2 linked regions of the Schizosaccharomyces pombe genome follow. The protein of the gene in region 1 purifies or fractionates together with the protein of each later gene. This does not show direct contact. Each region holds a gene or a part of one and is shown in the gene's direction. Other genes may lie near its edges.

Region 1 (4,180 bases):
AACGAGGCAGTAAGAATTGAGTTTATTCAAATAAGAAAAAATGATTATTTCTCTTAAAATGAATTGTTTTTAGAAGTGAACAGTTTTAGATGCTAGATGCAAACGTGAAAGATAGTATATGGTAATACAAAAAACGAAGGATTGGTAAATGGGAGTCCGGGAATTTTTATTTCACTTACGAGTAGAAACATGTAATTTTTTTTCTTTTATTCCATAAGCTTGCGATGTTTGAAGTCGTTGACAACGTCTTGCTTAGTTCAAACTGCTAGTCACCTGGGAATTATCTGAATAAATAAGCATTAAAATATGAACAAAGATTGGCGAGTCCAAGTTTATGTGAAATATCAACAACGATATACGTCGATTCATAGGAGGTTTGAACTCATCAACCTAAAGTTAGAAATACATGGCAAAAGAAATTTATCACAGATTGTTAATATGTTTGCAATCAGACATTGACTTAAATCAATTCTTAAGACTTGTTTGTAAGTGAGCAAGTTTATTATTGTTTTATGAATGATCGAGGTTGTGTAAAATGGCACAGTTTGTATTTGAAAGCTAATTTGGAATCCACAAAATTTAAGATATATAACAGAAAAGCTTTTATACAGCTGAAGTCTTCATTTAATACCCCGAATCCGTCATTGTCTTTTATTATAATACCGAGTTTCTATGCAAGTTAGGTAAAACTCCATATTTGAAGTCTTGGACATTGAAATACTTAAACTGTAACATTTGTTTTAAACTATTAGGATTAAATTTTCAAAGTTTTGATGGCACACATTGTACTATAGTTAGCAAGTATATAGAACGGCGATGGTTGACAAAAATGAACTACAAATGTAACCACGGAATGAACGTGAAGGTTTATCGGATTTTGATTTTAACGCTGTTTAATTTGTATTCAGCTACCTTTAACATTAATGATGAATTTCTGCTATTGGATTTCTAAAACTCCTCTGAAAGCATATAGCAGACAATGTCTTACGCAAATACAAAAAATGCTTTAAGGATTTCAAAGCGTTTTCCACTGATTTTTTTCTTATGCAAAAAGCAAATCTATTACTGACTTTAAGCTTGAACTTCAATCATTCTCATTTCTATTTCGTTTCCATATTCTATTATAGAGGATCTGTCAAGTAACATGTTTTGTATTTGATTCTTTTTTTACACAAGCAGCACTAGTATGAATAAGTTTTAAGAAGAATATGACTTTGTTCCGGAATATATTAACTGACTGAAAAGTAGAGAATATACTGTTTTTAGAAAAAAAAAATTGCGAATTGTCTGACGCACTATTGTTTCAATATATGAACCGTTGTTGGGGATGAAAAATGTTCAGTAAAAACCCCAAACTTAAAACTTATTGCGCATGTAGATCTAAAGTAGTTTATTCAATTAACTATTCGACTGACTATTACAACTGGGCCATTGATATATAAAATGAGCGAATATTCTAATGGCTTTAGAATTTTCAATATAAGATAAAACTTCCGATCATTTACACAAAAAGCAAGAACTTAAGACTGCTTTTTAACTCTCATTAATAGCATACGACTGATTTCTTTAGGATTTTTTTCCTAAATAGCAATTTGTTAGTGACTTATATAATAACGTTTTTCTAGCAGGTTTAAACTACTACGGTAACAACTTCTATAATAATTAACGGTGCACTATCTTAATATAGGATAGTTTTATGAGGATCTACGTACAGCTACACTACATCAGATTTTTAACGCGGAGATTGTAATCTCATTATTATCTCAACGCTGCATGATCCCGATCGCAGACGTGCTGGCTCAGTCATCAAATTTTCTACGATTACCAACGTAGCGTCGCCATTCATCGAGTCACTAAATTTGGTGGTTTAGCTCGTTTATTGCGAACGGTTGAGTGTGTTTTTTTTACCTTTGTGAGATATAATTTGATTAGTAACGATAATTTTGCCGTTAAGTCTTAGGTAAGCTTATTGTTGGAGAGTTCAGTTTTTTAGCGAAATTCCATGCTAACAATTGATTTTCAGTTAATTTTAAGAGACCAAGAGTCTCAAGATAAAGCTTTTGACAAATGGATTTTACTCCTAATAGCGCTATCAATCACTTGAATCTTAAGTTCGATGATGTTCCTGTCTCTGACGATTTTTCAAAGGATGATCTCGCAGAGCAATTAAATGTATTCACAAATCCATACTTTTTAGATTTAGAGCCTTCTAGTATGCTTTCAGAAGGCTATTATGGATTTGTTTCTCAACCTTCAGGTTCTTCCAATTCCAATAAGCAGGAAAAGAACGTGCAGCAACAGAATCCCGAAAAAATTTCGACTTTGCAGCAAGTTAAAGAGGAAGAAGTTAGCAATACCTTTTCTGCCCCTTTGAATGCAACTGGAAATTTTTCTTCTGCTAATCCTGCTTCAATTGATCTTGCTTATCTCGACTTGCAGAAACTCCTAACCCTACCTGATCATTCAAAGGAAACTCAAGAAAAAACTTCGTCTCAACGAGAGCTCTTTGAGCAAAAGTCTTCTGTTGCTTCAGCCTCCAAGGATAATGTTTCTTCTTCCTCAATTCTCCAAGGTTCAGCTTCCTCCAAGTTACTACCTGATCAATCTGCAAGACAACATCAAGTTTTGGTTGGACAGACTGCTATCCCGACTTCTGAAGCTAGCAGCTCTATTAACAATACCCCTTTACAAGCTCCCGTTTCTTCATTTGCTGATCAAAACGCATTTACCAATCCCCTTTCCACTTTTGCCAGTCCTGATTTAGCATCTGTATCTTCCCCTAGTCTTTCTTCTTATAAGGGTGCTCAGTCTCCCAATGCTAACAGTAAACGCACCAAAGCTACTTCTGCCATCCGTACTGCTGCTGAGGAAGATAAACGTCGTCGAAATACCGCTGCTAGCGCTCGTTTTCGCATCAAGAAGAAGCTTAAAGAACAACAGTTGGAACGCACTGCTAAAGAGTTGACTGAGAAAGTCGCCATTTTAGAAACTCGTGTTCGTGAACTGGAGATGGAGAATAACTGGTTGAAGGGACTTATACGTCCTACTTCTAACTTTTAAAAGTGGTTTTCTTTCCCTGTTATTTTATACCCCTGTCTTCTGCATTGATATGTTTATTTCTTCGATAATCATTTATTTAACATATAAAGGTTTTCTTTACAGGTAAACTTATGTTTTCTTTTGGAGCAAATCTTTTAATTTTCTTTTTTTCTGCGTATGCATCCAACTGCTACGTTCAAGTTCATCAGTTTTACGTTTACTAGGTAATGAATTTGATAATATACCTATTTTTCTCGTGTTTCTTGCTTTACGTAAATAAAATATAACGCTTCCAATGTGAATTGTTTTAAAGTAATATGTCAATATAAGCCAATATCAATAAATTTGATACTATAGGTTCAAGCTACTTAAACATCAAACTGTCAATTTGGCTGACCAGATTAACTTCAATTTGCGCCAATTCCTTTTCGATGATCTTATATCTAGCAGTTTGTCTTTTCGAAAATTCCTTAATCACTTTGTTACAATTTATGTGGTAAGCCTCAAGCTTTGACCTCAATTCCTTCTCGTTCTGTAAAATGCCCTCGTATATTTGATTTCCTATCATAGAAGTATAACGTTGTAAACCATCAATAGTAGCAGATTTGCTAGATGGATTGTATGCTTCGTTCTTCTCAACTGTCTTAAAAAATTTGTTGTAGGGTATTTCCTCGAGCTTGACAGTTTCCGCATTGGGATTCCTGTACTCAAGTTCCTGGCGATCTGATATCAGCGTACTGCTACTTGAGTCTGGCTCCTTGTCATTAAAACATTCATTATTAGGCGGGCTTGAGCAGGTACCATCTAGTAGACTGGTAATATTTGGAGTATTTGCTTGTTTAACAAAGGTAGAGAGATCAATTTGACGACTATTTCCAGTAAGTTGAGGCTTAGATTCCTGTTTCCAATGTTTCTCTTTAAGAAGTTCTTTCCATACGGAGCTTTTAAGACTATTATTTCCATCATGGCAAGTAGTAAAGATATCTGTAGCTGTTTCATGCTTTACACCATTATACCAATTTCCATTCGGTACAGGAACTGGAGTCTCAATATTCTCCGAAGTTAAATGGTTCATTTGTTTGTGACCTGCAATGTTTGCTATCGTAGGAGGCTTCAAGGTTTCGTCGTTAATTTTGCAAAT
Region 2 (5,532 bases), 2.9 Mb from region 1:
ACCAAACCGCATGACCGGCAACAATAATCAAGTGTGTGAGGTTTTTCAAAGGTTGTGCTCCTACCAAGGAAGTAGGACTAAAGCATTGAAGACTGGGATGGCTCATAGTAGAAAATATAGTAAAAAATATGCAAAGCAATATTAGAGAAGCATAAAGTGCTATTCCAGTTCGAGACTTTGGGGAAAGAACTCGCCAAAATCTAGACGATGAGGCGGTTTGGGTAGCATAAAAAGGCAATTGAATAGTTAAGCGTTTATTTAACATTTAAAGACCCAGTAGAATCCCAACCTGGGTGAAGGTCTTTGGCAAGACAAATATGAAAATAAAAAGTTGCTGTAGCGCGGTAGCGTATTATCAGTGATACCCAGGATACCCAAACAAAGCACGCGAAGCTTCTCATTGCTTAAACGAGCTAAAACTTTTATAAAAATTAATTTACCATAGATTCAAACATTAATAAAATTAATTTTATTGATAAGAACGGCAAAAAAAAGTTTTATGTTTCATCCTTTGTAATTGCAACAACGAACAAAGAATCTAAATTTTCTAGTTAATTTATTGCTTTATTTACGCTTTTTATTTAAAAAATAAGATAAAATAAAATTCGGGCGTTTAGCATACCATACATAATCACCAGTTGGCAAGAATCGAAAGTCAATCGTAACAACCTTGCTGAGCCTAAATCGGTGAACTCGTTGCAGGATTCCAAAATGTTGCATACGAAAATCACCAATCTCTTCAATTCCGCTGGCACATCAAGATCAGTTCCACCGCAACCTTGAAGTAAATTTTTAGTGAAAACGGTAGGAGACTTGTTTAATTCATCCAAGCTAATTGTGGTTAACGCGTCTAACTCTGGTATCATAGTACTCTTCAAAATGCCTGCATCTCTTATTCGAAATAAATGGACACCAGTCACTCCTTCTATTGAGCGTACAGATTCATACAAGTCATTGGCACTTTTCAAATCACCAACGTTCATATTTATTTAGTTGTGTAAAAAATATTTGGTTAATATATGTCCATCACTTGTAATCAGTCAACATTAAGGGCAAATCATAGGTCAACAGTCGTTTTGATGAATTAATTATGCATAGAATATTATATTGAATTTGTGACAAAAACAATTTAAATTAATATATGTTCTCAAAATAATGTATATGCAGACTATATGCATATTCCTCGGCGACTTTATATATTTCACGCGTACGTGACATTAACAATATTCAATCAAAGATGAACAATGAAACCGCTAGTCATTATCCTTTTATTTATACTTAAAAATCTATGTTAACCGGTATTCATGAAAAAAACAGCGGCTCAATAAATCGCTATTTCCTTCTTCAATATTGTTCATGTTATGTGATTAACCGAAAATCATGTATTCTTTCTTCTTGTAATAAATCATCGATTTAGCTTTGTTTACGACAACTATATATAGGTGAACAAGTTGAGCAGTGTTTTAATCATTTTCTGAGCGAATAATCATCCCTATAAACGCACCTAGCTCAATTACTTAGAAGTTTTTATGAATATATAAGCGGTTACTTAATTCATTCGAGTTTAAACTGATGCTAGCTATTACAAACTCAATTACGATTTGCTTAGCATTACGGCTCCATTGCCGCCATACAAAGTGAAGAAATATGGAGGAAATTCACCAAAATTAAGAAATATACAAACTTTGAAGCGACTGATTAAACTGTTGACATCCGAGAAAATTTGCATTTTCACACCTTCAGCGACATTTCCCCCGATCCCCGAAAAAGGTGCGACTTGTGAGGATTGGCTATTTTTTATTAATCTAGTGGAAAATAGCTGTTAAACGTTTGCAGATCAGTAAAAATTTTCAATATGAGTGGCAGATTGCGCAATAGTTGGTTAATCGAAATCAATTGCATTAACTGAGAAGTGGACAGATTTTTAATGATCTACGCACATATATATACTGAGACGAATAGAACGACATCTTTGCAATTTGTTTTATCCACATTATCTTCGGATTCGTAATTTTGAGATTCGCTTAACATCTCGCAATTCTACTCAAAATCTCAAATTCATTAGGTGATTATTAGTCTTTAGGCCTCACAATCCTCTCTATATTATATCCTCTCCTCCTTAACCTCATCGAAAGCCACCTCAAGAAAATACACATATTTGGAATAATCAAGTGGTTGGATAAAGAGTATTATTGGAGTTTTTTGAATCATTAAAATCTTGGTTCTACCTCAACTCTTCATCTTTTTACTGAAGGTTGCCAAAGCAACGAGTTTGTGTGTATTTTATATTTGATCTTCTAGTTTCTTTTTCGTTTATCTTTTACATAGTTTGTGTCTCTTTTTAAATTTTTTTTCTTGTTTCCATATATTTCTATCAGCTAGCACTTTAAATTTTCGATTTACTTACAAATTACTTTGTAAGGTTCGATAGTTGACTTTCCCCGCTTATCATAATTATTACAATCTTCATATAGTTTTCTCCTTTTTTTTTGTATTACTATAGTCTTTTATACTACTATCATCTTATCCAAATCATTTCTGGTTTCATTCTGTTAACATCTACCCGCATCATCCGTGATAACATTTTTTTGTGCTATTATCCACTCTATTTTTTTTTACCCTAAAATCAACCTTTGCATTGTCCCTTCTTTCTTTTCATACTTAATATTTAACCTTTATAAAAAAAATGACTACAGGTTATGAATCTGTTCCCACTTCCGAACCCTCTGATAATCTTGCACCACGAGCAGAGCTATGGCAACGCCATTTACTGGAAAAAAAAGAAGGTGATCAATCCATCTCCGTTTCGGCTTTTAATATTTCTTCAATGCATAATGAATTGTCTGGTTTAAGCGAAAAAAGTCGTCAACGTGTCGAAGCTGTATGGGCTGCTTTTTCAGAGGCTTCTTGCAGCGAACGTAAACTCGCTTTGCAAGGCATTTTAAACAACTGTTCGTCCTCTCTTCTCTCTTTTGCCTCCAGCACATTAGATTCTCTAGTACGCTTAGATTTTCTCTCTTTGCTCCCTGTTGAAATTTCGTTTCGCATTTTATCTTTTTTGGATGCTAGAAGCCTTTGCCAAGCTGCACAAGTCAGTAAACATTGGAAAGAACTTGCTGATGATGATGTTATATGGCATCGGATGTGTGAACAACATATTAATCGAAAATGTGAAAAATGCGGCTGGGGACTTCCGTTACTCGAAAGAAATACCTTATACGCAGCAAAGGCTTCCATACAAAAACGTTATGAACGACTTACAAAAAGAGGCGTCGATCAGGCTCATGAATCTTCACCCGTCAAAAAAGCAAAGCTGGACGATTATCCGACGTCGAGTAATGAAGAGACTATTTCTTCTGTCAAACCACCTTCTCCGAACTCCGATTCCAAATTCTTTCTTCCCTTTAAAACCAGACCATGGAAAGAAGTATATGCTGAACGTTGTAGAGTTGAATGCAACTGGCGGCATGGTCGTTGTCGCCAGGTTGTTCTCAGTGGCCACTCTGACGGTGTTATGTGTCTACAACTTGTAAGGAACATTCTTGCTAGCGGCAGTTATGATGCCACTATACGATTATGGAATCTTGCTACCTTTCAACAAGTTGCTCTATTAGAAGGTCATAGCAGTGGTGTTACGTGCCTTCAATTCGATCAGTGTAAACTTATCAGCGGTTCAATGGACAAAACTATTCGTATATGGAACTACAGAACCTCTGAATGCATTTCTATTTTACATGGTCATACGGATAGTGTTTTATGCTTAACGTTTGACTCTACGCTACTTGTTTCTGGAAGCGCAGATTGTACAGTTAAGCTGTGGCACTTTTCTGGCGGTAAGCGTATCACTTTACGCGGTCACACAGGACCTGTCAATTCTGTCCGCATAATTAGAGATCGTGGACTTGTTCTTTCCGGTTCCGACGATTCCACCATCAAGATTTGGTCTTTGGAAACAAACACGTGTCTTCATACTTTCAGTGCTCATATTGGCCCTGTCCAGAGTTTAGCTCTTGCTGATTCGCGATTGTTTTCTTGCTCATTGGACGGCACAATAAAGCAATGGGACATCGAGAAGAAAAAATGTGTTCATACATTGTTTGGACACATTGAAGGTGTATGGGAAATTGCGGCAGATCACCTTCGTTTAATCTCGGGAGCTCATGATGGTGTTGTTAAAGTTTGGGAGGCTTGTGAATGTGTTCACACGTTGAAGAATCACTCGGAGCCTGTAACCTCGGTTGCTCTTGGAGACTGTGAGGTAGTCAGTGGGTCTGAAGATGGGAAAATATATTTGTGGCTTTTCAATAATGCTCCAAATGAATCTCCAGTATCTACACAATCTGTTCCGATATCTTCCCTTAATGGTCAAAGGTCAAATTCAAGTGTGCAACGAGCTCTTTCTTCAGTACCCAACTACTCATCCTCGTTATCCAATATCTCAACCAGAAATTTAAATATCCCACCCTCTAATGCCAATAATGACGATGTGTCGATTCAATCGTAGTTACCCCAACATCGCATCGCCTTTTTGTTTGTGTCTATTTCTTTTTTTCTTCGGCATTTCGCTTGTATATCCTTCATTTTTCATCATTCGAAGCTATGTCTTTATTTATTGCTCGGGTTGCCAAAATGCCATATCTAAATTTGGCTCTTTTTTGGTAACAAACACTTTGTCTATAATCAAAAACTACTTCTAATATCCTTGCCTGTATTGTATTATTTAAATCATTTGAGATTGATGGCATCCCGGCATACAGTTTAGCCTTTTGCTTAATTTACTAGCGAATTATTTTATGACTTTTAACATTTTATGTATTTAATGAATACAATTTATCCTTAGTCGAGCTGAAGAATGTATGATTTGATGAATTGTAAAAGGGAGAAACTTAGGTACTATGTTGTAGGCGTTGTTTTTTCCAATTGCGCAAGTGGATTACTGATATTTTATTTCATGAGCGTGTGTATTTTGCATTGCTCTTGGAGTCAGAGAAGTATGAAATTAGCAAATTATATCAACACTCACTATTAGCAAATAAAGTCAGCTCCTACGCAAGCTAAAGATGTAACACCAAGTATTTGAGCCTAATAATTTTTATAATAAAGACATCAATTTGAAGCACTTCCGTTCTGTAAATCTCAATTTCCCATACGGATCAGTTGCATCTTTTTCCTCATTGTTTGAAATTTTGGAATCACCGGCTTTGTAACAATACTAACTTGCTTGGAATACTCAACTTTTGATTCCCAAAGAATGGTTTAAAGATGCAGCCTGCTTCTCTTGCCGGTATTGTAAGTACCTGATTTCTCTATGTGTAATTGTTTTTCCTTTCAAAATTAAACTTCCTCGCCAAAAAAAGATTTGCTTGTTTATGAAAGCATGTATCATTTAATCGATCGCGGTTTATTTAACATGTCAAATTGTAGTACTTTAAAGACAAAAGGAAGATTAATAGAAAAACAATTGTCAATAGGTGGCTGAATTTAACACTTGTACAACTTTTTCACTAACTTCAAATTTCAATCAGTCTTGCA

What was found.
Region 2: the proteins of zip1 (region 1) and pof1 purify together in Schizosaccharomyces pombe (affinity purification with western blotting; one study listed by BioGRID). This does not show direct contact.

The regions. Positions count from the first base shown.
Region 1 is NC_003424.3:4,297,999-4,302,178, forward strand, and holds zip1 (DNA-binding transcription factor Zip1), read left to right. Parts: upstream 1-1,816; 5' UTR 1,817-1,960; exon of another isoform or gene 1,961-2,023; 5' UTR 2,024-2,067; coding exon 2,068-3,060; 3' UTR 3,061-3,403; downstream 3,404-4,180. Other genes in the region: meiotic recombination protein Rec10, read right to left, coding at 3,404-4,180.
Region 2 is NC_003424.3:1,372,038-1,377,569, reverse strand, and holds pof1 (F-box/WD repeat-containing protein Pof1), read left to right. Parts: upstream 1-1,974; 5' UTR 1,975-2,686; coding exon 2,687-4,504; 3' UTR 4,505-4,848; downstream 4,849-5,532. Other genes in the region: SPOM_SPAC57A10.07 (uncharacterized protein), read right to left, coding at 1-265; protein mug15, read right to left, coding at 498-538, 623-983; SAGA complex deubiquitinating submodule subunit Sgf11, read left to right, coding at 5,263-5,289, 5,526-5,532. UniProt on the Schizosaccharomyces pombe protein: Probably recognizes and binds to some phosphorylated proteins and promotes their ubiquitination and degradation. Required for the inactivation of zip1 via ubiquitination.